Linked DNA regions of Lonchura striata. The protein of the gene in region 4 purifies or fractionates together with the protein of the main gene of each other region. This does not show direct contact. Links are inferred from orthologs where the notes say so. Each region holds a gene or a part of one and is shown on either strand. Other genes may lie near its edges. The genes, in order: MAVS, MALT1, TRAF3IP2 and IKBKG.

The links.
Region 1: the proteins of IKBKG (region 4) and MAVS purify together in Homo sapiens (affinity purification with western blotting; 4 studies listed by BioGRID and IntAct, with this or other methods). This does not show direct contact. The link is inferred for Lonchura striata from reciprocal best matches to the Homo sapiens genes IKBKG and MAVS.
Region 2: the proteins of IKBKG (region 4) and MALT1 purify together in Homo sapiens (affinity purification with western blotting; 4 studies listed by BioGRID and IntAct, with this or other methods). This does not show direct contact. The link is inferred for Lonchura striata from reciprocal best matches to the Homo sapiens genes IKBKG and MALT1.
Region 3: the proteins of IKBKG (region 4) and TRAF3IP2 purify together in Homo sapiens (affinity purification with western blotting; 3 studies listed by BioGRID, with this or other methods). This does not show direct contact. The link is inferred for Lonchura striata from reciprocal best matches to the Homo sapiens genes IKBKG and TRAF3IP2.

What each region holds. Positions count from the first base shown.
Region 1 is NC_134606.1:3,104,411-3,111,947, forward strand, and holds the start of MAVS (mitochondrial antiviral-signaling protein), read left to right. Parts: upstream 1-4,530; 5' UTR 4,531-4,573; intron 4,574-5,132; 5' UTR 5,133-5,145; coding exon 5,146-5,262; intron 5,263-5,372; coding exon 5,373-5,553; intron 5,554-5,892; coding exon 5,893-6,110; intron 6,111-6,495; coding exon 6,496-7,069; intron 7,070-7,537.
Region 2 is NC_134642.1:368,403-375,955, reverse strand, and holds the start of MALT1 (mucosa-associated lymphoid tissue lymphoma translocation protein 1), read left to right. Parts: upstream 1-4,551; 5' UTR 4,552-4,603; coding exon 4,604-4,755; intron 4,756-5,542; coding exon 5,543-5,709; intron 5,710-7,553. UniProt on the Homo sapiens protein: Protease that enhances BCL10-induced activation: acts via formation of CBM complexes that channel adaptive and innate immune signaling downstream of CARD domain-containing proteins (CARD9, CARD11 and CARD14) to activate NF-kappa-B and MAP kinase p38 pathways which stimulate expression of genes encoding pro-inflammatory cytokines and chemokines.
Region 3 is NC_134605.1:68,416,664-68,423,553, forward strand, and holds the start of TRAF3IP2 (E3 ubiquitin ligase TRAF3IP2), read left to right. Parts: upstream 1-3,875; 5' UTR 3,876-4,252; intron 4,253-4,568; exon of another isoform or gene 4,569-4,615; intron 4,616-6,890. UniProt on the Homo sapiens protein: E3 ubiquitin ligase that catalyzes 'Lys-63'-linked polyubiquitination of target protein, enhancing protein-protein interaction and cell signaling. Transfers ubiquitin from E2 ubiquitin-conjugating enzyme UBE2V1-UBE2N to substrate protein.
Region 4 is NC_134638.1:2,065,118-2,072,243, reverse strand, and holds the start of IKBKG (NF-kappa-B essential modulator), read right to left. Parts: upstream 3,002-7,126; coding exon 2,887-3,001; intron 608-2,886; coding exon 550-607; intron 406-549; coding exon 126-405; intron 1-125. Other genes in the region: G6PD (glucose-6-phosphate 1-dehydrogenase), read left to right, coding at 3,331-3,385, 5,316-5,464. UniProt on the Homo sapiens protein: Regulatory subunit of the IKK core complex which phosphorylates inhibitors of NF-kappa-B thus leading to the dissociation of the inhibitor/NF-kappa-B complex and ultimately the degradation of the inhibitor.

The DNA.
Region 1 (7,537 bases), on a different chromosome or scaffold from region 4:
CTCTCTGCAAACCTGGCTGCAGCCCCCACCCCTGAGCACATCCTTCCCCTCCCTGCCACTGGCTGCTGCAGCAACAGGAATTAAAATAAAGATGAAAAACTCCTGTTGGGGCCGCAGTTTTATTTCCTGTCGTTTCTAGAACTCCTTGTACAGGAGGAAGAAATCCTTAAATATTTCCAAGCATCCTGCATGCTCACAGCAAGCTCCCCCCAGCCACGAGCAGGCAGAGAAGGGATGACTAATTTTTTTTTAGCATAAGACGCTGGGAGAGCGTCCTGTGAACAAGCTCAGTAAATTCCTGAGGCTCCCGGCAAGGACTCCACCACTCCTTGCGAAACTTCCCAGCTGGAACCGAAAAGGCAGAAACCATCGTTTTCTCTCCCTCGACAAACAGAGTTTGGGATTCCTTTCGCGACAGTATTTGGATTTTTAATGTCAGTCCATATTTAGCAGGAGAGGAAAAAAAGCCTCCCTTCCTTCCTGTCACATTTTCCACCCTCGATGACATCCAAGATCAGAAACAAGCAAGTGCTGGCCGAGGAGGGAGGATGCAGCTAGCCGAGCGTGGGAGAGCTTGGAGAGGGGCAGCACTGACATTCCCGTTTGGGATTCCCGTTTGGGATGCGAGGAGGGGACACACCCTTTGAGGAGCAGAAAGAGCCAGGGAGAAGGGGACAGAGCTCTGAAGGAAGGACAGAACCCTCAGACCCCACAGCAAAGATGGTGTCCCTTCCAGTGCTACAGCCTGGAGCATCTCTGAGAGGGATGGCCCAGGGGGCAGCCAGGACACAAGCCCCCAAGCTGGAATATCGGTCCCAAAAGAAGCTTTTGGCCACTGGCATGGCCTGGATTTGCCAAGGGGGACATGGTCTGACCGTGGGTCAGGAGTAGAAGCCCCAGAGTCCTGAGTGGAGGTGTCCAGGGAGCCTGGCCATCCTGCAGCAGGGTGGTGGTGGGTGGTGGCAGGAGATGGTGGCCATGGTGGCCCTGCCCTGCAGATGTTTTTTGGGTCTTGGATGGGTGTCCTCAGCTTGGACTTCCGTACCCAACCCCGTGGGTCACTGCAGACCCACAGGTGCAAGTTCACAGAATCATGGAATGGTTTGGGTGGGAAGGGACCTTAAAGCTCATCTTGTTCCATCCCCTGCCGCGGGCAGGGACACCTTCCACTAGCTCAGGTTGCTCAGAGCCCCATCCAACCTGGCATTAAACACTTCCAGGGATCCAGTGGCAGCCACAGCTTCTCTGAGCAACCTGTGCCAGGGCCTCACCACTTGCCTAGGGAAGAATTTCTTCCTAATATCTAATCTAACCATACTCTCTTTCAGTGTGCAGCTATTCCCTCTTATCCTGTCACCCCAGACTCTTGTAAAAAGTCTCTCTCCATTTTTCTTGCGGGCTCCCTTCGACTACTGAGAGGCCCCCATTAGGTGTCCCCGGACCCCTCTCTCCTCCAGGCTGGACAATCCCAATTCTCCCAGCCTTTCCTCGCCGGAGAGGTGCTGCATCCCTCCCATCAACTTGGTGGCCTCGTCTGGACTCGCTCCAAGGCAGCAAACCCAAGAGCCCCAGCCCGCGATCACTCGTAGAAATCACCATTCTCCCTGCCAGATACACCCCCAAAAATACAGACGCTAACCCCCCACTTCAGCGTGGGCAGGGTGGGGGCGACCCACCTCCACGGACGCGCGTGGGTCGCGCCCCCCGCCCCTTCCGCCACCCCCGGGCCCCCACAACAACCCGGTGCGCCCCCCCGGCGCTCCCCGCGACCCCGTCCCCGCTCACCTGCGCCCGCCGCTCCCTCGCCGCCTCCCGCCCGAACGGCTCCGCTGCGAGGCCGCCTCGGCCGCCCGTCACCATGGACGGCGCCGCGCGGGGAGGGCGCGGGGTGGGGGGGGCCGGGGGAGAAGGGGAGGGGGATATGAGGGAAGGGGAAGGGGTGCGGGAAGCCCCCGCCGCCCCTCGGGGCTCTCCCGGCGCTCAGCGGCGCCGCCGCCGCCGCCCGCCCGCTGCCGCCGCCATCGCGCGGCTCCGGGCCGGGGGCGTGGCCGGGGCGTGGCCATGGGCGTGGCCAGGCGGGCCCCGGGCGCGGGGTGGTGCCGCCCCCTGGTGGCGCGGAGGCGGCGCTGCGCCTTCGCCCCCGCTCCTCCGCTCTTCAGCTCCCGATTCCGCTTCCCAAAATTCCGGAGTGGGAAATTAATTAACTATTGACTGTTCATTAGGGAATTAATGACAAAGGAAAAGCTTTGGTGGGATACTACGGGAATGACGGAGAGAGACTCTTAGGAAGGAGGTGCGGAGACAGAACAAGGAGTAACGTGTACGAGTTGAAACAGGAGGAATTTATATTATTTATATTGGATATTATTATATCCACTAATATTGCTGTGACCGCGGCGAGAACAGGAACAGGTTGCCCAGAGAATTTGTGGTTGCCCCAAGGCTGCAAATTTTTAAACCCAGGTGGGATAAGGCCTTGAGCAACCTGGTCTAATGGGGGTTGTCTGTACCCATGGCACTCAGCTTGGGATGATTAAAGTCACTTCCAAACCTTTAACATTCTGCGATTCTATGATTATGATTGTACCATTCTGCGATTCTATGATTATGATTGTACAATTCTGCAACTCTGTGAACACGAATTACTGAGTGGCTTTTTTTTCATGTGGTAAATTTTATCATTATACTGATCTCTTCTTAATTATAGAAACAACCCAGAAATATGATCGATTTTTATGACTTAGAATGAGAAAAGCTGGATTCAATTAATTATAATCACAGAATGGTTTGGGTGGGAAGGGACCTTAAAGACCATCTCGTTCCACACCCTACCATGGGCCGGGACAACTTTCCGCTATCCCAGGTTGCTCCAAGCCCCATCACCTGTGGCCTTGGACACTTCCAGGGATGAGGATTTTCTGGATAAACTGTGCCACTGCTCACATGAAGGACCATATTCCAGCTCCCAGAATCACAGAAAACTGAGGTTCAAAGGGACGTCTGGAGATCATCCAGTCCAACCCCCTGTCAAGGCAGTGTCACCTGGAGCAGGTGACACAGGAATGTGTCCAGGTGGGTTTGGAAGGTCTCCAGAGAGGGAGACTCCATGGCCTGCCCGGGCAGTTATTCCAGTGCTCTGCTACCCAAAACATAAAGAAGTTCTTTGTCACATTGAGGTGAAGCTACCTGGGGCTCTGCCCCCAGGTAACAAACAACAGGATGAAGGGAAAATTGTTTCATGGAAGGTTTAGATTGGATTGTAGGGAAAATTTCTTTTTGGAAGGGGTTTTCAAGCACTGGAAAAAGCTGTCCAGGCCAGTGATGGTCAGCATCCCTGGAGAGATTTAGAAGCCATTTGGATGTGGCATTTGGGGATATGTGTTAATAATGGCCTTGGCAGTGCTGGGGGAATGGTTAGAATGGAATGGAATGGAATGGAATGGAATGGAATGGAATGGAATGGAATGGAATGGAATAGAATAGAATAGAATAGAATAGAATAGAATAGAATAGAATAGAATAGAATAGAATAGAATGGAAGAGAATGGAATCATCCATCTTCATTTTAATTTTGTTTTGTCAGTGGAGCAGCTTTGGGGTGTGAAACTTCTCCCGTTCCCCTAGTTTTCAGACATCTTTGTATTATTCCTTGTCCAGTCGCTGGGCATCACGGGAAAGAGTCTGGCACCATCCTGTGACCTTTGCTTGGAGATGTTTTTATGGATTGGTGAGATGGCTTTGGAGTCTCCTCTTCTCCGGACTCAGCAGGCCCTGCTGCCACAGTGTCCCCTGGCAGAGGGGGACAGTGTCCCCAGGCTGGCCACGCTCCGGGATCTCCGCTCCCGCTGTCCCGAGGGACTGGGAACCTGTCCATGCTCCTGTTGTGGGTTTGGGGTCCCAAATTGGGCAACTCCCTGGAGCAGTTCTGTGTCAGCAAAAGCAGACACACAGGACTTTTTCCGTCTTCATCTTCTGTTTATTGTTACCTGATCAAAACTTCAGCACGCTGTCTGCACCAGACCTTGCATGCTGGAAAACAGCACAAAAATGGCCAACAACCTCGTCTAATCAAAAGCTGCCCAATTAAGAAGTGACACCTAAATTATTTTCCTTTCTAACCCAATAACTGACCCCTAAAGACCCGCAATGTGGATTTTTCTACCCCATTACAAGATACCACCTAAACCCAAGAAGGAAGAGGAAGAAGAGAGGAGAGGAATTCGAGACAACACCCTATATCCTCCATCTTGAACCCATCTATAACACACTAAAAATCCTAACACCTAAATTCCTCACCCATGTGACATACTAAATTACCCTCTACAATCTACTTCACACTTTGGTGGTTTCTAGTTTACCTTGAGGCTTTGGAAGTTTTCTCCACGAATGAGGGTCACAGTCAGAGCTCCCCTGGGGGTCAGAACCCCTCAGGGCAGACAAGGGCAGTCCCCTGACGTGTCCCCACGCCCTGTCAATCACGGTGACGGGCGTGCGCCGCAGCCAATCAGCGGCGGCCGCGACGCGAGGGGGCGGGGCCGTGGCGGCGGCGGGCGCGCGGCGGCGGCGGGCGCAGGTGAGGGGCCCTGAGGGGCCGTGAGGGCGGCGGGGGGGGATGGCGGGACCGCACCGGCCCCCACGGCCGCCACAGCCCCGGCAGCCACCCCCGGCCGCCCTGACAGGGGGATCTGCGAGCGGAGAACCTCCCGGAGATCCCCCGGGGGTTGAAGGTCGCGCTGAGGGCGGCGGGGCCCTCCTGGTGTGGGCGCGCCTGCGGGCCGCTGTTCCCTGTGGAAGGAGCTCTGTGCCTTCCCCTTTGGTTTTTACATTGCTTATGCGGGATTCCAGCCATGGCCCCTGGCGCTTGTCTTGGCCGTGTCGCCTGTTTTTCCTTTGTCGTGACGCCCAACCCGCCGGGTGAATCCAAACAAGCAGAGTGGGAATAAACACGGCGTTTATGGTGGGAAGGAGCGAGGTGTGTGTGGAAGTGAAGCTGAGCGTTGAACTTAAAGCCGAGCGAACTTTGTGCGCGTGGTTTCCGACAGGATTTCCCGTCTCATCATGGCAGTGTTTGTGCCAGGGCACTGAGGCTCGCCAGCAGCCTCTGCTCACCCGAGGTCTCTGTCCCCCTGCAGGTGCTGAGCCACGATGGGTTTGGCTGAGGACAAAGTGTACACCCACATTACGAGAAACCTCAAGAAATTCAGCACTATCCGAGTGGCGTCGCTGGCCGATTCCCTGACCTGCCTGGTCGATTCTGACAGAGTAATTTCCTATTTTCCTGAGCTCTGCCAGGCTCCTTCCCCCATGGCAGCATAGAGTTATCTTACCTCTAAGCCAGACCCTCTCTTAGATACCCTGTGTGTTTTTCCTAGGATGAACTCCTTGCCCGGGAGGAGATGCGGGGCAACCAGGCAGCTGTCTTTAGATTCTATCAGCACTTGAGGTGCCGGAAGGGCTGGGTGCAGGATCTCATCCAGGCACTTCACCAGAATAACGCAGGGCACTTGGCTGATGAGCTGCAGGAAGTCTATGATACCTGGCAACCTCGACCTCGTATGTAGCCTCATCCTTCCTGGGTGTGCCCCGTGGGCTGCTGGAGGTGGGGACATGACATCTCTGTCCCTGCTTCAGCTTCCGAGGGTGCTGGAGGTGTGTGTGACTGTCCCAGGGATGTCCTTCACTGTGTGACATGTCTGAGGATGATTTGAAGGTGCTTGGGTTGGTGGTGGGCTGGGGTTCTCACCTGAGGGAAGATGGAAAGATAACAAAGGGGTGCTGTGGGCTTGGCTGATGTGGGGACAGAGCATGGACACACACACAGGGCTGCCTCAGCCCCGCACTTATCCTCTGCTTCCTCAGTTTTTTCCACAATGATCTGCCTGTCTCTTCCAGGTTCCTCAGCTCCTGCTGCTGCCTCCTCCCTTCCCAGTGATGCCCGTCCCACTGCCTCCTCCATCAGTGCCCAGACACCATCCCAGGGGCCAAATCCTGCCCCTTCGGCTGGGCGGCTACGCCCAGACCTGACCACTGGTGACCATCCACCTGTCCTTCCCAGTGCTGGCACCACCACAAGTACGGAGCTGGAGGCCAGAATGCCGGTGCAGGAATCGGTGAGCAGGGCACATGTTGGATGGGGACACCAAGATCCCTTTGAGACCTTTTCATTGGGTTTTGGGAACCTGTGGTAGGGCCAGGCTCCTTTAGGGCCACCCCGAGCAGCTGCTTGCTGCTGATCTCTGCTGCATCTGGTAATTTACTGCTGATATATGGCCCTGTAACTGCTCCCTCTCATGTCTCCCTCCATGGGAGCAGTGCAGGCTCTGCTTTGCCACCAATCCAGGCTTCTCTCCACAACCCCAGACCCTTGGGTGGGTCCCAAAGAGAGACCCCAGACCCCATTCATAACCAGCCTTGCAGGGGTCACTGCTCAGGCTTTAGAACACCGCTGTGAACCCCCTCAATCCCAGTGATTTAACACAACCCATTTCCTTCCAGCTCCCCAAAAAACTCCCGGAGCAAGAGAATCCCCGGCCGGTTCCACCTGAGAGCAAAGTCCACAGCGGAGTGAGCGGCGGGCACAGTGGAGAGGGGAATCTCTCGCACCCCTCCGGGACCGTGCCGGTGTCAGAGGGGACATCAGGGGTGGCCGTGCCACCGGCCGTGTCCCCAGAGCAGGGCCGGGACTGGCTGAGCCGCCGGCCGGTGTGTGTGGACAACGGATTTTTTGGGAATGCAAACCACCTGCACCGCGGCACGCCGGGCCTGGCCCTGGGCAGGTCTGTTCCATCGAGGGATGCAGGTGCCACTCAGAGCCCTGGGCAGGCCAGGAATGAGCCCGAAGAGAGCTCGGATATCTTCACAGAGTCACCACCAAGGCTGGAGGGAGCCACTCGTGGTGTGGGGCAGCAGCCCCCAAACTCGGTGCCAAAAAAGCAGCCTGTGCCAAGCTCTGGGCATGGTGAGCCCACGGGCAGCTTCGTGGATGTGCGCAGCCCCCTCCTCATACAGGAGCAGTTTGATGTGGAGAAGAAGCGGGTTGGGATGCTGCAAGAACACCCAGGGAGTGGAGGTGGGTTTCCCTCCTGGCAGAACCTGGCAGCCACTAGGGAGCAGGAGGTGCTGCTGAGAGCCCCTCACTGCAAGAAACTGGGATGCTGGAACACATCCAGAGATGGGAATGGGACTGGGAGGGCTCTAGAGCATAAGTCTGATGAGGAGCAGCTCTGAGAGCTCATTCTGGAGAAAAGGAGGTTCGGGGGAGACCTTCTCACTCTCTACAACTCCCTGAAAGGAGGGTGGAGAGCAGCTCTGAGAGCTCATTCTGGAGAAAAGGAGGTTCGGGGGAGACCTTCTCACTCTCTACAACTCCCTGAAAGGAGGGTGGAGCAGGGTGGGGATTGGGCTCTGCTCCCAGCTAACAATCAACAGGATGAAAGGAAAATTGTTTTGCGGGAGGTTTAGATTGGATAGTAGGGAAAATTTCTTTTTGAAGAGGTTGTCAAGCACTGGAAAAAACCGTCCAGGCCAGTGATGGTCA
Region 2 (7,553 bases), on a different chromosome or scaffold from region 4:
GTTATTCCTAATGTCAGAAAAAAATTAACTGACAAAAATATATAAACTTGATTAAAAGGTGGCCATTACATTTTCTCTCTTGCATCACATTTTTCCAACTTTATTAAATTATTAGCAAAACAAAAATCTTCTTGTGAAAAATTACCAGATATTGGCTTTTGCATTTATGTATTAGCCCATGCTTGTTGTTAGTGATTATAACTATTTTGAAATAGTATCAATTATAACTCTTTTCAGCTGCATGTTAGTATAATATAATCTATCACCTTAAGCATGCACTGTATTGCTCATAGAAATAGTAGTGCAATGAATATAATAGCTATGTATCACTTATGGAAATAATAGTGTGTTGAATGTACTGTGTTATAGACCTTAGCAAAACATAAGATGGGAAAAAAAGGCTTTTGTGTAACCAAAAACAGTGTAAGGCCATCCAACCTGTCCAAGTGCTAAGATAACCATGGCACAAACCAGAGCACCGGAGCACAATTAGAGAATACCGTGTTAAATTTAAGGAGGACATACTAAACCCTTATCAGAGGATGTGAAACAGCAGGATGGAGACACAAGAAAATATATTGACCTGACACCCAGGATGTCATGCAGATAAGCCGGAGTATGAAGAAGTCAGACAAAGAAGTTCCCAAAACATCAGAAAGTTCAAAAGAACACTTGAATTATGCATGAAACACAATAATATGCATGTATCTTATTGATATAACAGTATAAAGATAACATTGTCTGTATGCCCTCCCCCCCCACCCTCATGGAAATACTGTCCTTTTTTTATCCTATTACTATAATTATTATTATTTTTAGACTTCTAAAAACTCTAAGCAGTGAATTCTGTTTTTCACATTCATTTGTAAGCAATTTTATATTCACAGAAATTATTTATACGGGAAGCTTATGCATTTTAGCAATCCAGAAGTGAATTTGTGCCTTTCTGTGAGGTTCATGTCCTCTAGAGTCAATGGAAAAATCCCCTTTATGACATCCCTGAAGCATTTTTCCTTTGCTTAAGATCTATTCATGGAGTAATCTCTGTTTTGTGTGCAGGCCCTTTTCAGTAGTGCTCCTTCCTATCTTTCAGCAGCACTCACTGGTCCCTGACCTTGCTGGAGCTGTCCGCCCACCCAGGAACCACCTCCCGTTATCTGTGCAGCCCCAGCTCTGGGCTCAGGGGCCCGTCCCACGCATTTCCGTGGCACAGTGAGCACCTGGTCAATGCCCACCCCTCGATGGAGCCAAGCTGTGACCCCCACAAAGCTCCCAGCCAGAGCAGGTCCTGCCAAGGACCTGCATCACACCCACCCAGCCAGAGTAGTGGGAAGAGAGAGGCTGAGTGAGCCCACACGGGGGATATCAGCAGAACACCAGGGGAATGACACTGATCATGCACAGTGGTTCACACTGGGGAATAGCCTTTCATCAACCAATACTTTGGGCTCTCTATACCGAGCTGACAGCAGTTCTGGGATAGCTGAAGCAAGAGAGAGCGCAAATGGAACACCTTGAGCAGCATACTTGTCAAAGAGTGCACAGTGTCAGAAACCAAACTACAGAAACACTGTATTATCTAAACCAGTTACCACACTATCTATTGGATTAATAAGGTCTAGGTAAGAAAAACATCAGTGAAGTTGTGGCTGTTCAAAAAGTAGATGTCTGGAAAATATGCCCTTGCCGAAAATTCTGTGATATATTGAGGTTCTTCAACTGCCAGTATCCAAGGCTTTTTGACAACATTTTGATTAGTGCAGTACCCGCTGTAAACAGCCCCACAGTATAAAAACACCTCATCCATAATTTATCAGCTAAATGGACTAATAAATTACTGGCTCTGCACATGTCAAACAAACACCTTAATATAGAGTAATTAAAATAAGCAATCACAGCACAACTCTTAACACTGATCTGTCTTAATCTATTTTTAACACCTGTCAAGCATCTGACCCTGTCAGACTGAGCAATTCATGAAGATTGGGAATCACCTATTACTACCAAGTGACCAGACCTTTTCCTCAAGAATGGAGGAACCTTTTATCTAATGCATATTAGGCCGTGCTATAAATATTTAGAATTTAGAATTAATAAATGTGTCTTTCAGGATACCTGGTATCACTTACACACTCTTTAGAGAAGGAAGCTTGCTTTTGTACAATTTTTGCAATTTTGTCTTAATGAGACTTGGTGGAAATAGTAGCAGAGAGTAATTTCAGAAACAGTGAGCAGATTTATAAATGCAACATGCTTAGAAACACCCAAATCTATTGGGATAAACAAAAATGGCTCTTCTTTAGCAGAAGGAAATACCAAATCCCATTTCCTGGTCAACAGCAGTATAAATCAATCCATTGTAGTGCACTGATAATAAAAGTAACTTGCTCTTTTTCCTTTATTAGTCTTTTATGATACACATTCTATTTGCCCAGGAGAAAAAAAGCAGACAAATAATTTTCAAAGTCCAAACACCCCGACCCCTCACTTACCCTTGAGCTCTTTGTGGATGTTCTGGGATAGGCTGGTCCTGGGCTGGGCCTCCCCACTGGAGACAAAGGAGGCTGAATTTGTGCGCGTTGTTAGGAGCTGCAAGCCAGCCGACAGCTTCACCGGTGTTTTGGAGTGCGATCTCAGGATAGGGAGTCTGATCACTGAACAGTTTGACTTTTAAGAGAGACGATTTCATTACATGCAGCAGATGGCCCTTCCTGGGAAAACCTCTGCCAGACAGGGAGTTGGCAGTGAGGAGAGGGCACATCCTACTTCCATAGAAGTCCATAGGAATTTCCTAATGGCCTTGAGACAGAGGAAGTGTTGGCCTTAGTTTTTCATAACAGAGCACTGGCTTGTTTTTTGAAGCATGTGCCTAACTGCTCTTCTAGGCAAGTTGGGAATTTCTTACTTGCTGGACGTTAGGCACACAAAAGTTCTGCTGAGCATGAGAAAATCCACAGTGCCTAACAAGCAGGCTGAGGAAATCAAAGGTGGACAGTGGACTTCTCATAATCTCTACACAGAAATTCACCTTATCATCTTCATCCCTCAAAGGCAAATGAGCAAATCCTGAAGTAAGAAAGTATTTCCACTCTTGGTACCCAAGGAGACAAGTCTCACACATGGCAAACTGGAATGAATTGCACAAACTGCCCTGAGTTTAAGGGATCTGGAAGAGGCCGAAAAAACAACTTTTGTGCCAAGTTTTTTCTTAAGCATTTTGAAGGACACACAGCTAAAACTGGTTACAAGATCCTACTGTGCTAAATACTTCTTGCTCCCAGTGTTATCTAGACAGATAGGAAACTGTGGTCTTCAGCAGTAAATATAGCACTTCCAACCACCCTTATTCAGAAATAGCAATAAGAATATCTATGTTTTATAGACGAGCCTAATAGGCAAAGAAATGAGAGGCAGCCACATTCAAATCAGAACAGTTTCGGTTGGAAGGGACCTTTAAGGGTCATATAGCCCTACACCAACATGGGCAAAAACACCTTCCACCAGACTAAGTTGCTCCAAGCCCCGTCCAACCTGATCTTGAACACTTCTAGGGATGGGGCATCTACCACTTCTCTGAGCTACCCAAATGCTTGATCACTGATTAAAAATGTTTGTAAAATTACTTTCTTAGGCACCTTCAGTCCACTTTGAGCAAGTCGCAATACCAGAGAGGTGAGAATTCGCTTCAGATCATCTGTTTGCAGTGATAACGATCACTCAGGGGAACATCTCGGGAGGCTCTTCCTGAGCAGTTCCTCCTCTCCCTCGCTGAGGACGCAAGGTGCCTTTACGCTGCACGCTTCGACAGTGGCAGCAGGCTGAGAAAAGCTGTGTAAAGGAAGAGAGTCCATGGTCGTACTGCTCGCGGTCAGATAAAGACGTTTCTCCTCAAGGCGAGAGAGAAACAGCTCTCGGGTCTTGTGGGCTTTGTCTGGTTTACGCCCCAGCCCCGGTTGTAAAGCCACGTTCGGCCTCCTCAGCACCACCCGGGAACGCTGCAGGAGGTCTCGCGCTCGCACAATACGCCCATTTCAACAGGGGTACGACCGCGCCTGATCTGTTTCCTCACGGTGCCCGAGGAGGACTACGGGATGTCCCGGGGGCGCGGTGCCCTCAGAGCTGGGCCCCCTCAGAGCTGGGCCCCCTCAGGGCTGGGCCCCCTCAGGGCTGGGCCCCCTCAGGGCTGCGTCCCCTCAGGGCGCGGAGCCCTCAGGGCTGGGCCCCCTCAGGGCGCGGAGCCCTCAGGGCGCGGAGCCCTCAGGGCTGGGCCCCCTCAGGGCTGCGTCCCCTCAGGGCTGGGCCCCCTCAGGGCTGCGTCCCCTCAGGGCGCGGAGCCCTCAGGGCTGGGCCCCCTCAGGGCGCGGAGCCCTCAGGGCGCGGAGCCCTCAGGGCTGGGCCCCCTCAGGGCTGCGTCCCCTCAGGGCGCGGAGCCCTCAGGGCTGGGCCCCCTCAGGGCTGCGTCCCCTCAGGGCGCGGAGCCCCTCAACGGGGCTGTGCCCCCTCAGGGCGCGGTGCGCGCGCTCCCCTCAGCCGTACCCGACCCAGCCGCCCCGTCCCGCGCGGCTCTTCCTTCCGTGCGGTAGCACCGCCCCGGCGGGCAGCCATGGAGTGCGGCGCGGCGGGGCCGCTGCCCCTCAGCCGCCTGGCCGGGCCGCTGCTCCGTAGGCTCAGCGAGCTGCTGGACCGCGCGGCGCCCGGCAAGGGCTGGCGGGAGCTGGCGCAGCGAGCGGGGAGCCGCGGCGCGGTGCGGCTGAGGTGAGCGCGGGCAGCGGCGGGGCGCGGGCAGCGGCGGCGGGGCGCGGCCCAGCGGTGCGTGTTTATCTCTCTAATCCCGTAAAACACTGAGAGTCCGTCCACTTCATAAGTGAAAGTATCACCACATACTGAAGATATCTCGTCCCCAGGTTTGCGTAGCTCTGTGATTTAAGGAAGGAAACGTTGATTAATCTTTTTAGTGGAAATATGTAACTTTGTATTCTCTTTAGGCAGTTGTCATTATTTCTTTTTTGTGTTGATTGAATGCCTGTGACTGAAAGTGCGTGACAACGACACCAAAGTTGAAACTACAAGTTCAGACACAGGTGACTACGCTGTACAGTCGGTGTGTTAGGCTGGACTCCAGCAGTCACTTGTTTACAACAACTTTAAAATCAGTCTTCCTGTACTTTGAAGTTAAGAGTCTGACTCGCTCTCTACGGCTTCTGAGTCAGGCTCATAGAAATGAAAGATGCTGTACTACTTTTTCTGCTGACACTTTAAAAGTGAAAAATAGGAGGTTTCTTAATACATTTGCTGAAACTTGTGAGGTATATGCATCTCTTATACCATCCAGCTCACTAATACCACTTTCTGTCTGCGGAGGTGTCACTGAATAACCTCTGTACTCCTGAAACTTGAAGGAAATGCTGCAAATATGTCCAAATCAGCTGGGAATTTCCCATCTCTATTTTTATTTATCTACAAGTGATTGTTTACCCGGGTCCTTTCTGAGAAAAAGGTATTGAGAAGGTCTATGCCATGTCTTTCTCACATTATTCCATAGCCCTCTCGACTTGGAGCAGTGTTCCCTCCAGGTGCTGGAGCCAGAAGGCAGTCCTAGCTGGAGTCTCCTGAAGCTGCTGGGGGATCGGGGCTGCACTGTCGTGGAGCTGGCGGAGTCCTTGCAGGCCCTGGAGCACACAGAGGCTCTCCGGTGTCTGAGCCACTCAGGTCAGTTCTGGGCTGTGCTTTCACTGCGGCCCTGGATTTTACACTGGGAACACTCAAGGTAGCACTCTACAGTAGCGAAAAGCAACTTTAGTGCTTGAATTCTAGCTAGTTGGGATCCAGATGATTACCAAGGTTATTGGCTGATCTGATTCTGAGGTTAAATGTAAGCCAAACCTTCGTGCAGTGTTGTTGAAGACTTGGACTTGGCTCCATGGGTGTGCTGGGCGTTGTCATTCTGTCTGCTGACTGGGGTTTGGTCTCAGCATGTGCCTCTGGGAGATGCTTATGGACCAGAGATGGACAGACAGGTAGTGCTGCCAGCACTGGAGTCTGGAGGTGTCAGTAACTTATCCCAGGTGAAGGGGAAGGGTCCAGTTAGGGCAGATTATTAATAAGATTATGAATACTGAATCTGCATGGTTTCAAAGTCCAGTAACCATAGATGTCACTTTGCCATATTCAAAGGTAACACTTATGCTCTGCATTTTCCAAGGAAAATGGAAGAAATATTTATGTGTCTTTGTAATCTATCATAAAATTGAGCTGGAAGGTTTTTCTTTTTGAACTATTAAATTCCATGGTACGTGCAGGAAGTGACTGTGTAGTGCTGAATAAACCACAGGAAAGGAACTGAAACTGGAAAGAAATTATGGATCAGATTTCTTAGAACTTGTTTGGAATGCTTCTGATGAGTGCAAAATGCTTATCTTCCAGTGGATTTTTCTCATCTATGTTCTTAAGAGCTGTTTGTGATGCAAATTGGGGGAAATTAAAAAAAAAAAAGTGGAAGTTTTGGAAAGAGCAAGCCTTCTTAATTTTTCTGTCCTTTAAATTGAAATAGCATAATTACTTTTCTGCTGGTTAATGTTAGAGGACTGTGATGCTCAAAAACAACACAGTTTAACTGCAGAAAGTGGAAGAGGAAGTGTTAAACAAGGAGTTGAGGTACTGATCTCCAGTGCTAGGTGTAGAAGGAAGTGATTTTGGAGTAAGGAAGGCAGGGAATTTCAAAGTGCTGCAGCTTTTTTGGAGTAGCTGCTGGTGTGTTCTACTCTTTCAGAGTAATCATGTGAGTGGAGGCAGCTGATGGAACACACTGCTCTGCCAGGCAAGGTTATGTGATTTCCAAACGCCGTGTGCTCTCCGTTTCAGGCTGTTGTCTCTGTAGGTTCTGGTCTAGTTGGACTATCCAGAGCAAAGAATGTTTCAAATCATGATTTTTAAATGTTCCGTTCTCCTTCTTCTGATGACTTTGGCTATACCAGTGGACCTGGTTTTGGGACCATGCTGTAACAAGATCTGGAATACCTTAGGTTAAGAAAATAATTGCATCATATTGGAGTGGTGTCAGTTAAGATTTGAAATAGAAAGTTTTACCTTGCAGAAAACCCCAGCCCTATGTTCTGCATGAATCAGAGGCATAAGAGTGTATAAGGAATAGCAGGAAAATGTGCTCTGTTGGACTTAAACTCTGACTGCTTTGACTCCCTCAGGCTGGGCCTTAATCTGAACAGCTCAAAAAAAAAAATCGTTGGGAGTGAACAAACATTTAAAACTGAGAATATCTTTCCAAAAAGGGATCTGTGATACCATGAGACATATTATTTCCTTTAAAATTAAAATATCTGAATGATATACTTTAAACCTTTTATGAGCTCCATCGAGTACTTATCGATTTGAGCATGGATTTTGTGTAGTGGAAGACAATTTTGAATGTCTTAAAGTAATATAACTAATTGGAACTGTGCGTATACACAGTACAAACAAATTATTTTCAAGTATATTTAATGACAGAAAGGTTCTGTGCTCCAAGGGCAATTTAAATGCAAATATAAATTATGGAC
Region 3 (6,890 bases), on a different chromosome or scaffold from region 4:
GGCTAGAGCTTGCCAAGGGCTCTGGTTTGCTTTTTTGTGCATCAGCATTTGTTGCTGAGCTCATGCACCCAGAGCCTTGCTTAGCTACCTACTGTCACAGCTTCACACAAAATTCCTGAGCCCTGAAATGGATGAATTCTAATCTGGAAAAAGAAAAAAGAATGCAGGGCTGTTTTGTGACTACTGGGGCTCAGCCTCATGCCAGAGGCCTGTCTCTGAGCCCTGGCAGTCCCTGTGCTTTATTCACTGCTGCAGTTCAGGCTCTGGGCTGCCTCTCAATTCCACAGGCAGCTGGATTTCCCCAGCTAGAAAATGCTACTCGTATAGGAGGGTCTCTGGTGTTGGGAAAGGGCTGCAGGGGTCCCAGCACACCGCTCCTGGCACCACACATGGCCTGGGCCATCACTGTTCCTGGGACAGGCTTCCAGGAGAGAGTGGCAATGCAGAAGGGACCTGCAGCTTCCCTGGAGGCCCTTTGGACACCCAGAGCTGCCATGCTCTGTTAGCAGCAGCTCAGGCACAAGTGTGTGGAGCTGCTGACAGGTCTTGGGGTGACTTGGGTTCCGGGGCTGTGGTGCTACAGCCCATAGTCCCAGTGACAGTGGAGAAACAGCTTTGTGTCTTAAACAGAGAGGACTAGCTACGGTTGATCACACAAGTGCTCAAGTGCTCCCTCAAATTCCCATGCCTCCCAAAAGGAGTGCAGCCACCAGCTGAGCTTTGTCTATGACCTCATATATATCCAGTGTATAAAACACATTCCACATATTGAACATTTGCATATGTTACATGTCTTTTGTTCCACTTGGGTGGCCTTTTCCTCCCCTCCCCCCATGACTCATCCACACAGCTCCCATCACATTATTCTGGACGTGTCATTTCTGAAGGACTACACATCCCTGTCCTGCAGAGAATGGGGGCTCTGTTAATTGTCAAATGTTGAGTGGGTAATGATCAATGGGTGACTAATTGGATGCAAGAGGGAATAAAATAGGTATTACTTAGCTTCTGCTCTTAATTAAGAGGATACATAATGCTGTGGGGAAAATCTTAACAAATGGCAGGAGGTGTTTTTGTCATTATGCAGGGTTTAATTACATGCATTGCACAAGCCAACATCCAGGTACTGTTTTCTTTCCTTTCAGGTGTCTCTCCAGGGTGTGACTGAAAATTGACAAAGCAAGAGCCTTAAAATAAAATAAGTGGAAAATATTTTCGCAGGCATGTGCCTAGCAATGTAAACAGCAAGACATAGAAGAAAGTCCCGGTTTTCCTCACAGTGCAAAAGCAGCAAGGGACATGCAGAGAACCAGAGTGAGACCAGTGCATTATGCTGAGGCAGAGGGGGTTAAAGGCTCACTGCAATGTCTCCAGGTTAATTCACAGCACCAATGTTAAAAGAGGAGTAACATGACAGTGCGCTATTTAAACAGTTAATAATTTGGAAGCAAAAATATTCATTATTTATTTCTCCAAAAACAGAGATGTGGTAAGAAATATGAGACGGGGCACTCAATACCAACATTTTCTTCCTAATGAAAAAAGAAATATTACAACTCCTGCCGGATAAGGAATGGATTTTAAAAAGAAAAAAATGGTCCGTGTTACTTGCCTTGACAAAGAAAACCATCCTGCACTTGAATCTGTTCTTTCTATGACAGGCCCAATATGACTCATCACGTTCTGCTTGTAAATAATGTACAGATGAGATTCTAACTTTAGAGAGTTCAGAGTTTTATCTGGCTTTCAGTGAGTGAAGTCAGTAGGGTAGGAAGACTTCAAATATATAAAGGAGGCCTTCAGAAGGCAATTATGATGGCTTCAGTTTTGGGGATGAGGGAGGTTTTTGAAATGCTAAAATTAACTTGGGTATCTATTGTCCAAGTTTCCTAATCCAAAAATGAGTTAATTGACAACAGTTTCTACAGCTTTGTGGGAGTGTACTGAGGTTTGGGCTGGACCTTTGAAACCCACTCAGCAGACAGTGCTGTTAACAGATTCAACAGAGTGTGACTTTCAAGCTATTTTTCCCCTCTTTGTCTAAAGTACATAATTCTCAAGAGAAAGGAAACTGCTCCAAATATCTGCTGTTTTCTGGGGCTTGGCAAGTTAAAGAGGGGACAGAGACTGGTTCTTTGGCCGCATCTGCAGACATCATTAGATCTCTGCATTTCTGGAGCTGAAGTGACAGATCTCACAACCAGAATGTTCCTCTCCTGGACAACCGACAGCTGTCTACAGGGGTGGCAGGTGGACACTGTTGTTTGCTGGATGTTACAGACCAGTGTCCAGGGTTTGACCAGCGGAGAACAGAGGACTGTCCATACCCATTGTCAGTGAGGGAGGCCATCCACGGCGTGAAGAGAGGTGCTTGATGGCTCCATAGCAGAACCTTTTATAAAGAAACCCCACAGATGTGGGTATTGATGAAGCATTCCACGGGACACTCTGTCTGCCAAGTCCCCATGCTGCTTGCATTCCCTGAGGAGCTGGTCGTTGCACAGCAAACACTACATACATCCCTCACACACATCCCAGGAAGGTCAGGTGCTCCCCAGAGCAACTCTCCCTCCCTGCTTCCATCCTGTCAACATTCAACAAGGTCCTGATTTTGGCTCCTGTGTGGCCGTGGGCCCCTCACCGCCCTCACCCACTGTGGCACACCAGTGGCAGTGGAGCCATCACTGCTCCTGAGCTGGAGGCCGGTGGGAAAGCCGGCAGGAGAGGCAGCCACCCAAGCCCAGTGCGGTGCAACTCGGGGCTCAGGCAGCCTTGAAGAAAATGCCGGCTGTCAGGGTGCTCATGGTGCAAAACAGCTGTGCAGCAGAGGCCAGGCCAGAGGGATTAAACCTTCAGCTGTGGTCATAATGCAGCCACTCCAGCCGTAAGCATCTAGTGCTCATCACATCTGGGGCTGGCTGGGAGCAGCAGGGACTCTCCAGGGAGTCTGGCAGCGGTCAAGGACAACTTCAGAGTGCTCCAAAAGGGAGCCCTGGTGTCCTGCTGGCCTTTGCCTTGGCACAGGAGGCAGAAAGCGGGGAAGGAGGGGGTCAGGATGGCCAGTTCCAGGGCCAGACTGATGTGGGATTTCTCACCAGGGAAGGTAAGCCCAGGCTGCAGGGCATCACTGCACTGCCATCAATACAATCACACTTAGTGCTCAGCTGGGGGCACATCCTGCTCCCAGCTGCCTGAAGGCAACTTCCAAAAATGTGGGCAGTCATTCCGTGATGAGAGGAGATAATTGCCTGGGTCACTGCTTTGCCTTTGGACCAGAAAGAGGGGCTGGCAGAGTGGCGGGCGTGCAGAGAGAGCCCTTCCCGAGGGCAGGAATGCTGGGTATGTGCCCCCTTCCTCGGCCCCCCGTGTCACTGGAGGGGCACAGGAAGGAGCAGCGGTGGCACTGCCAGAGCTCGGAGCTCGGGGGTGGTTTCCATGTCCCTGTGCCAGGCAGACCTGCCAGGCATCCAGGCAGCCGCGGTGTCCGCCTGCGGCCACCCGGAGGGTGGGGAGCCGTGCCAGAACGTCCTCCTAGGGTGAAACTAAGAAAATGAGGCTGGAGATCACGAAGAGCTTCTCGGCAGGGAGATGCGCTGCGTGGGGGTCAGGACAGTGGCGTGGCCTGGGATAAAAGCGGCCAGAGCGGCTTTCCTGGGGCAGCTCACCGGGCATCTCCGGAGCTGGGAGAACACAAAGTTTCAGCTTGTAGGAAAAGCGATTTTCTGGTCCTTGAGAGTGTAGAAACTTGGAAGTGTCTAGAAAGCTAATATAAAAGAAAGAACCAGTCGAGAAATCCTTTTATTGTTCTTTATATAGTTCTCACACGCGTCATGTGATTCTCTTCGACCGTCTGAATCACAGCTGATTTACCATTTGGCCCTGACAGCAAGCGGCCGAGGGCTGAAAGCAAGGGATGGCTTTCGCGGCGAGGCGCACGGGTTAGGAATCACGCCGGGGTTGCCCTGCGCCCTTCGGCCGCGGCGCTCGGGCAGAGCCGCGGCACCCACGGGCGCGGCAGCGCGGCAGGCACGGCCGGGAGCCGCTTCCCGGCGCCACCGCGCCGAGCCGGCCTGCGCTTCCACTTCCTGCTGCAGGCCAGTTCTGCCGCTCACCTGGGAGAGGCTGGGAGCGTGTCGTAAAAGGAGGGAAGGCCGCCCGGCCGGCTGAGGAAGGAGCCCCGGGCGCGGCGGGAGCGGGAGGCGCAGCGCTCTCGCTGTCCGGGGCAGCCCAGCGCGAACCCCTCGCCCGCAAGGTAAGCAGGGTCAGCGGCGCCGCCTCCCTCGGCCCTGCCGCCCTCGGTGCTGACCCGCGCCTGCCTCTCGCCGGGCTAACCCCCCAAAATTGCTGCCTCGCTCGCTTTCTCCCCCTCCTCGGAGCATGGGAGCCCGGCTTTCACAGATGGTTACAAGGTGTTTCAGCCATTTCGCTGCAGTTTGTTTTGTTTGTTGGTTCTTGTTCTTTTAATTTTTTTAAATCAGGAGGGGTTTGGGGTAAACACAGGGGACGGACACGCCTGGTGTCGAAATGTTGTCCTGCCTATTTACGTAGTTTCCTGGCAATGAGTGGCGGCCAGGCCTGATCCCGATCCCGCCCTGTCCGGTTCTGCAGGCTCAAGGTGGTGTGTTGGCCGATGGCCCTCTCCTTTTCCCTCTCACTTTCCCTCTCACTTTCCTTTCCCCTCCCTTTCCCTTCCTTTTCCCTTCCCTCCCTTTCCCTTCCTTTTCCCTTCCCTCCCTTTCCCTTCCCTTCCCTTCCCTTCCCTTCCCTTCCCTTCCCTTCCCTTCCCTTCCCTTCCCTTCCCTTCCCTTCCCTTCCCTTCCTTTTCCCTTCCCTTCCCTTCCCTTCCCTTCCCTTCCCTTCCCTTCCCTTCCCTTCCCTTCCCTTCCCTTCCCTTCCCTTCCCTTCCCTTCCCTTCCCTTCCCTTCCCTTCCCTTCCCTTCCTTTCCCTTCCCTTCCCCAGCTGACCCGGGGCTGCATAGGACAAGTCCATAGACCTGGTGAGGGAGAGGTGGCTGCAAGGTGTGAAGAAAACAGGATCACAGATGCTTTTTGCCCCATCCTCTATATAGCCTTGGCACAGAAACAAGTGGGAGCAAGGTGGTAGTATTTCTTTTCTATTAGGATAAAACCTGCTTCCATATAAAACCCGTTCCCATTTCACCCAGTCTCAGGATACAGGTTTTGTAGGGTTAGCACTGGCTGGGCGCTGAGATTGGCACATCTGAGCTTACTGGTCCTCAACCACCACCAGTAACGCTGAGACCAGAAATTCCCATTCCCTGCAAGCCCTGGGTGGGTTCAAGGCCTGGACTGGCCACACCAGTGCCCCACCATGACCAGCTGCTGCTGTGACATCTATGACAGGTGATTCCAGAGACAGGGATGCGAGGGGCACGTGCGGCTGGGCCAGGGTGGGTGAGTTGCTGCCAGTGATGCTGCTGCCTGCAGTGCCATCAGCCTCTGAAACCAGCCTTGTCCTTGCAGAATGCTGGCAGTGCCTGGAAGCATGCTGTATATATATTTTTTTTTTAAATTATTTTCCGATGGAGTTGAGTTTTCTTTCTGTTTTCCTAAGGCAGGAAGCAAGGCATGTGCAATTATGGTGTTCGTGTCTGTCAGTGCCCCCCACCCCCAGCAGTGGCTTTTGAAGTTTGGCAGAGGGTACATGTCTGAAAGATACACACATTTCTGCACGTTTCATGACTGCAAGTGAGCGAGGCTGTTCTCACGCCAGCCGAGGGAGACACGTCAGGTCCCGCAGGCTTCCCTCAGCCTCCTGCCGCCCACGCTCCCGCAGCCCTCGTGCTGCAGAGCAGGGAGAGTGGCTACGGATGGGAGAGACATCAGCCCTGAGAAATACCAGGGGCTCTTTGGGAGCCACAGTCTTCGATGTAAGGCATGAAGCTGTAGCAAAGCAGGCTGAAGAAATTGATGCTTTTCAGGGTGATCCCTCCATCCCACCCCACTGAGACAGCCCCAGTTTGGTGACAGGAGTTTTGGATGTCCCCGAGCCCTGGGATATCCCAGGCTGGGGGTTCTTAAGTGCCTGTGAGAGTTTTGTCAGCACCAAAAATGGGTGGGAAGTAGCCTCTGGAAAACAATCACATTTTTAAGGATACTAAAGATAATTGTAGACATTTTCATATTTCACAATGTTTAGAAAGCTGGCAGGGAATGCTGCCTATATCTGAGGTGCCTGTTTGGACCCTGCTAGAGGGGTGTCACCCTTCTAGTTTCTTACTACTTACTGCCAGCATTCCTTCAACATGTATATCAATGTCTACACTAAAAAGGCAAAAAATACCAGGTCTGCTCTAGCCTTTGCACTGTGGATTGTCCACTGAAGCAGCATTAGTGGTGCAAAAAAGAATGTGAAGTTTGCTGTGCAGACAGGGTTTGAAGTATGTTCTCTTGGCACATGTAGATTTTCCTGCCATGGCTTCAGAAAGTACATGAGAGCAACCATATAGCCAGAGGAACATACTATTTTTCTAATTTTTCCAGAAGTCATGAAAATAAGCATTACCTGCCCTAGAGGGCTAAAAGTCTGGACTAGGAATGTGACACATGTCCTTAGTCTTTGCTGTGGAGGGTACCCAAGGGAGAGGGGAGCATCTGTGATGACAGCAGCCGAAATTTCTCACGGTGAAGTGCAAAATTCTGAAGCTTGGATTTCCTTGGCAGTGCTTATTTAAAGTGTAGACCCAAACCAGTTCCCACATTTGTACATGCTCCTCCTGTAAGGATTTCTCTCTGGTTTTTTGTGAGGAAAGTTATGTCTAGTGTTTCTGTAGAGAAAGCTGCACTTAGAGCAAGTGCTCTTGCACACTTACACTCATCTCACCCTGTGGCAACAGCATTCCTTGAGATCTCAGCATGTGCATCCTCAC
Region 4 (7,126 bases):
GGGGACACTGGGGACATCAGGGGGACATTGGGGACATCAGGGGCACCCCACAGGAGCTGGGGGGCCAGCGAGGGGACACGGGGAGGGGACACAGGAAGGGGACACGAGGAGGGGGACACACACACCTCAGTGCTGGCGTCAGGGCTGCTCCTGCAGATGTCCCCAGGATCCCTGAGAGTGTCCCTGAGGGTGTCCCTGATGTCCCCAGCAGTGTCCTTGGTGTCCGTGAGGATGTCCCTGATGTCCCCGGGGGTGTCCCTGATGTCCCCGGGGGTGTCCTTGGTGTCCCCAGGGGTGTCCTTGGTGTCCCTGATGCCTCCAGCGGTGTCCCCGGCGGTGTCCCCCACGTCCCCGGCGGTGTCCCCGACGTCCCCGGGGGTGTCCCCGACGTCCCCGGGGGTGTCCCTGCCGTCCCCGGGGGTGTCGGGGGTGTCCTCAGGGCTGTCCCCGGGGGTGTCCCCGCGCTGTCCCCGCAGGTGCAGCACCAGCTCGCGGGCCTGTCCCCAACGTCCCCAGAGCAGCTCCCGCTCGCCCCGGCGCTGCTGCTGCAGCTTCCGCAGCTCCTCCAGGCGCTGCCGCAGCGACTGCGTGCAGTGACACAGGGCACCTGGGGACAGGGACAGTGACACAGGGACAGCAGTAACACAGGGCACCTGGGGACAGGGACAGTGACACAGGGACAGTGACACAGGGACAGTGACACAGGGACAGCAGTGACACAGGGCACCTGGGGACAGGGACAGTGACACAGAGACAGCAGTGACACAGGGACAGTGACACAGGGACAGTGACACAGGGACAGTAACACAAGGCACCTGGGGACAGGGACACAGGGACAGTGACACAGGGCACCTGGGGACAGGGACACAGGGACAGTGACACAGGGCACGTGGGGACAGGGACAGGGACAGTGACACAGGGACAGTGACACAGGGACAGTGACACAGGGACAGCAGTGACACAGGGCACCTGGGGACAGGGACAGGGACAGCAGTGACACACAGGGACACAGTGACACACAGGGACAGCAGAGACACAGGGCTCCTGGGGACAGGGACAGTGACACAGGGCACCTGGGGACAGTGACAGGGACAGCAGTGACACAGGGACAGTGACACAGGGCACCTGGGGACAGGGACAGGGACACAGGGCACCTGGGGACAGTGACAGGGACAGCAGTGACACAGGGACACAGTGACACAGGGCACCTGGGGACAGGGACAGTGACACAGGGACAGTGACACAGGGACAGCAGTGACACAGGGCACCTGGGGACAGGGACATTGACACAGGGCACCTGGGGACAGGGACAGTGACACAGGGACAGTGACACAGGGCACCTGGGGACAGGGACAGTGACACAGGGCTCCTGGGGACAGGGACAGTGACACAGGGACAGTGACACAGGGACAGCAGTGACACAGGGCACCTGGGGACAGGGACAGCGACAGTGACACAGGGACACAGGGCTCCTGGGGACAGGGACAGTGACACAGGGACAGTGACACAGGGCACCTGGGGACAGGGACAGTGACACAGGGACAGTGACACAGGGCACCTGGGGACAGGGACAGTGACACAGGGCTCCTGGGGACAGGGACAGCGACAGTGACACAGGGACACAGGGCTCCTGGGGACAGGGACAGTGACACAGGGACACAGGGCTCCTGGGGACAGGGACAGTGACACAGGGACAGTGACACAGGGCACCTGGGGACAGGGACAGTGACACAGGGACAGTGACACAGGGCACCTGGGGACAGGGACAGTGACACAGGGCTCCTGGGGACAGGGACAGTGACACAGGGACAGTGACACAGGTACAGTAACACAGGGACAGTAACACAGGGCACCTGGGGACAGTGACAGGGACAGCAGTGACACACAGGGACAGCAGAGACACACAGGGACAGCAGAGACACAGGGCTCCTGGGGACAGCAGTGGGGACAGCAGTGACACTGGGGACATTGGGGGCATGAGGGACATTGGGGACTGGGGACACTGGGGGCACTAGGGACACTGGGGACACTGGGGGGACTGGGGACACTGGGATGCTGGGGGCATATTTGGGACATTGGGGGGACTGGGGACATTGGGGACATTGGGATGTTGGGGGCATATTTGGGACATTGGGGACTGGGGACACTGGGGGGACTGGGGACATTGGGATGCTGGGGGGACATTGAAGGAAACTGGGGATTTTGGGGGGACTGGGGACATTTGGGACATTGAGATGTTGGGGGGACACTGGGGACTGGGGACATTGGAGGGATTGGGGACATTGGGGTCATCAAGGAGAACTGGGGACATCGGGAACTGGGGACACTGGGGGGGCTGGGGACACTGGGGGGGACATTGGAGGTGCTGAGGGGACATTGGGATGTTGGGGGGACATTGGGATGTTGGGGGGACATTGGGGACACCGGGGACTGGGGATTGGGGACACTGGGGAAATGGGGGGGACATTGGAGGTGCTGAGGGCATCGGGGACACTGGGGGGGACTGGGGACATTGGGGACATTGGGGGGACATTTGGGACATTGGGGACTGGGGACACTGGAGGGGACATTTAAGGTGCTGAGGGTATCGGGGACATTGGGGACGGGGGGAACATTGGAGGTGCTGAGGGGACATTGGGATGTTGGGGGGACATTGGGGGGACACTGGAGGTGCTGAGGGGACATCGGGGAACATTGGGGACATTGCGGACTGGGGACATTGGGACATTGGGGGGACATTGGGGGGACCCTGGGGACGGGGGGGACCCTGGAGGTGCTGAGGGGACTCGGGGGACACTGGGGACACCCCAGTGGGGACACGGGGACACCTCTGGGGACCCCCGCCGTGCCCCCCCATGGTCCCTCCCGGCCCGGCCCGGCTCTCACCCCTCAGCTCGCGGTTCTCCGCCCTCAGCCGCTGCAGCGCCTCCGCCAGCGCCGGCTCCGCCTCGGGCCCCGGCTGCACCATCTCTGCGGGCCGCCGCCAGCGCCCGCCGCTCATCGGCGGCTCCCGGGCGCGCTTCGGGGCCGAGTTCGGGGATTTTTTTTTTTTGGGCCGAATTCGGGGATTTTTGGGATCCCGGCGGCTCCGGCGGCGGCGCCGCCGCCACTTCCTGCTTCCGCCGAGAGCGCGTGACGTCACCGCGCCCCGCCGCGCTTCCGCCTCGGTCGATGTCGTGGCGGCGCCATAGCAACGCCGAGGGCGGAGGGCGCCGATTGGTTACGCCTCCGCGCGTAGCCCCGCCCTCCCTCGGCGATGATTGGTTGAGGCTGGAGAAAGCTCGGCGGTGATTGGTGGGTAAGGGGACAGGGCGTGGCCTCTGTGAAGGGATGGGGACCCGCGCGAGCGTGAGGGAGGCGGCGCGAGCGCGGCCGGAGCGGGAAGGTGCGGGGGGAAATAATGGGGAAATAATGGGGAAATAATGGGGAAATGTGGGGAAATTCGGGAAGACGTGAGGGGATCTGGGCTCTGGGATAATCCGGGGGGTCCATGGAGGCCTGGAGGGGAGCGTCGGGGGGAACCTGAGGGGGAACGTGAGGGGCTTTAGGGCGGAAATGGGGGAGTTTGGGGTCTGTGAGGGATCTGAGGGAAATTCGGGGTCTGAGGGGGATTTGGGGGGGGTTTGGGGGGAAGTGAGGGCGGAAATTGGGAGTCTGGGGGTGTCCAGGGGTCCGTGGGGGGATTGAGAGGAAGCTAATGGGGGGAGAAGGCGGAAATTGGGGAAATTTGGGGATCTGGGGGGGATGGGGAGGGGGTTAGGAGGGGGATGGGGGGCTGAGGGCGGAAATGGGGGGGATTTGGGGGATCTGGGGGGTCCAGGGGGGAGATTTGGGGTTCGAGGGGTCAGTGGGGGTTCGGGGGATTTGGGGGTCCTGGGGGGGAAATTTGGGGGAACTGGGGCGGATTTGGGGGGGACAATGGGGGGAGGGCGTGTCCTGCCCCACCCATCCCCAAAACCCCACCCCGGGTGCCCAAACCCGCCCCAAAACCTCCCAAACCCACCCCAAAACCCCCAAATCCCATCCCCAGGTGCCCAAACCCGCCCCAAACCACCCCAGCCCTGCCCCCCAGGTGCCCAAACCCACCCCAAAACCCCCAAATCCCATCCCCACATCCCCAAACCTGCCCCAAAACCTCCCAAACCCACCCCAAAACCCCCAAATCCACCCCAAAACCCCCAAATCCCATCTCCCGGATGCCCAAATCCACCCCTAAAGCTCCAAATCCCATCCCCAGGTGCCCAAACCCTCCCCAAAACCCCCAAGTCCCATCTCCACATCCCCAAACCCGCCCCTAAACCTCCCAGATCTCATCCCGGGGTGCCCAAACCTGCCCCAAAACCTCCCAAACCCGTCCCTAATGCTCCAAATCCCATCCCCAGGTGCCCAAACCCACCCCTAAACCTCCCAAACCCTCCCCAAACCCCCCAAATCCCATCCCCACATCCCCAAACCCACCCCTAAACCTCCCAAACCCGCCCCAAACCCCCCAAACCCCATCCCCAGGTACCCAAACCCGCCCCAAACCCCCCAAACCCCATCCCCAGGTACCCAAACCCACCCAAAACCCCCAAATCCCATCCCCCGGGTGCCTAAATCCACCCCAAACCCCATCCCCAGGTACCCAAACCCCCCAAACCCCGTCCCCAGGTGCCTAAATCCACCCCAAACCCCATCCCCAGGTACCCAAACCCACCCCAAACCCCCCAAACCCCATCCCCAGGTGCCCCATCCCACCCCAACCCCCCCAAACCCCATCCCCAGGTGCCCCATCCCACCCCAAACCCCCCAAACCCCATTCCCAGGTACCCAAACCCACCCAAAACCCCCAAACCCCATCCCAAGGTACCCAAACCCCCCAAACCCACCCCTAAACCTCCCAAACCCACCCAAACCCCCCAAACCCCGTCCCCAGGTACCCAAACCCACCCCCAAACTCCCCAAACCCCATCCCCAGGTACCCAAACCCCCCAAACCCACCCCTAAACCTCCCAAACCCACCCAAACCCCTCAAACCCCCCAAACCCCCCAAACCCCATCCCCAGGTGCCCCATCCCACCCCAAACCCCCCAAACCCCATCCCCAGGTGCCCCATCCCACCCCCCCAAGTGCCAGCTGTGCCCCCCAAGTGCCCACCCGTCCCTCCGGCTGCCCTTTCCTGCCCCGCAACCGCTCAAATCTTGTTCTGGGCTGGCCGAACCTGTTCCTCTGCTCCCCAAATCCCTGCCCGGGGTGGCCGAACCTGCCCCCCGAGTGCCCGGTCCGGCCCCCCGAGTGCCCGGTCCGGCCCCCCGAGTGCCCGGTCCGGCCCCCAGGAGCGATGCCGGGCTCGGCTGAGGCGGCGCCGGCCGCCGGGGGGGAGCTGAGCCGCTCGCAGGTGTGCGGGATGCTCCGGCAGGAGCTGAGCCGGGACGGAGCCTTCCTCCAGGGCCACCCGCACGTCCTCGTCATCCTCGGCGCCTCCGTGAGTGGCCACGGGGCAGAGCAGGGCTTTGGGGGGGTTAGGGGCAGGAATTCGGGGTTTGGGGGGGTTAGGGGCAGGAATTCGGGGTTTGGGGGGCTTAGGGGCAGGAATTTGGGGGTTTGGGGGGGTTAGGGGCAGGAATTCGGGGTTTGGGGGGGTTAGGGGCAGGAATTCGGGGGTTTGGGGGGGTTAGAGGCAGGAATTCGGGGTCTGGGGGGGTTAGGGGCAGGAATTCGGGGTTTGGAGGCAGGAATTTGGGGGTTTGGGGGGGATAGGGGCAGGAATTCGGGGTTTGGGGGGGTGTTAGGGGAAGGAATTCGGGGTTTGGGGGGCTTAGGGGCAGGAATTTGGGGGTCTGAGGGGGTTATGGGCAGGAATTCGGGGTTTGGGGGGGATAGGGGCAGGAATTTGGGGTCTGGGGGGGATAGGGGCAGGAATTTGGGGGTCTGAGGGGGTTAGGGGCAGGAATTTGGGGGTTTGGGGGCAGGAATTTGGGGCTTTGGGGGGGTTAGGGGCAGGAATTCAGGGTTTGGGGGGGTTAGGGGCAGGAATTTGGGGGTCTGAGGGGGTTAGGGGCAGGAATTCGGGGGTTTGGGGTGGTTAGGGGCAGGAATTCGGGGGTTTGAGGGGGATAGGGGCAGGAATTTGGGGGTTTGGGGGGGTTAGGGGCAGGAATTTGGGGGTTTGGGGGGGTTAGGGGCAGGAATTTGGGGGTCTGAGGGGGTTAGGGGCAGGAATTCGGGGGTTTGGGGGGGTTATGGGCAGGAATTTGGGGGTCTGAGGGGGTTATGGACAGGAATTTGGGGGTTTGGGGGCAGGAATTCGGGGCTTTGGGGGGGTTAGGGGCAGGAATTCGGGGTTTGGGGGGGTTAGGGGCAGGAATTCGAGGGTTGGGGACAATTGAAGGGGCTATGGGGCAGAAATTTGGGGGTTTGGGGGGGAAATGAGGGGGTATGGGGAAGAGATTCAGGATTTGGGGGGGTTAGGGGCAGAAATTTGGTGTTCAGGGGGAGGAATTGAGGAGCTAAGGGGCAGAATTCGGGGTCTGGGGGGGAATTGGGGGGGTTGGGGACAGAAATTTGGGGGTTGGGGGGGTTAAAGGGAATTGGGGGGATAAAGGGAATTGGGGGAGGAATTGAGGGGGTTGGGGGGAAATTGGGGGGCCGGAGGAGCAAAAAAGTGGGAAGCAAATCTGGGGGGAAGTGGAAGGATATCGAGAGGTGGAAGAAAAATTTGGGGGCAATAAAGGGATTTAGGAGATTTGGGGAGAAATAAAGGAGATTGGGGGGTTGAGGAGGAAGTTAAAAGGGTTTGGGGGGATTTTGGGGGGCCTTGGGGCAAACTGAAGGGGGTTCAGAGGAATTGGGGGAATTTGGGGGGATTTGGGGTTATTTGGGAGGTATTTGGGGGGATTTGGAGGGATTTGGGGTTATTTGGGGGGATTTGGGGTTATTTGGGGGGGATTTGGGGTTATTTGGGGGGATTTGGGGTTATTTGGGGGGGATTTGGGGGGGATTTGGGAGGGATTTGGGGTTATTTGGGGGGATTTGGGGTTATTTGGGGGGATTTGGGGTTATTTGGGGGGATTTGGGGTTCTTTGGGGGGATTTGGGGTTATTTGGGGGATGGGGGAGGGGCGGCCACCCGCTGCCTCCGGGGGAGG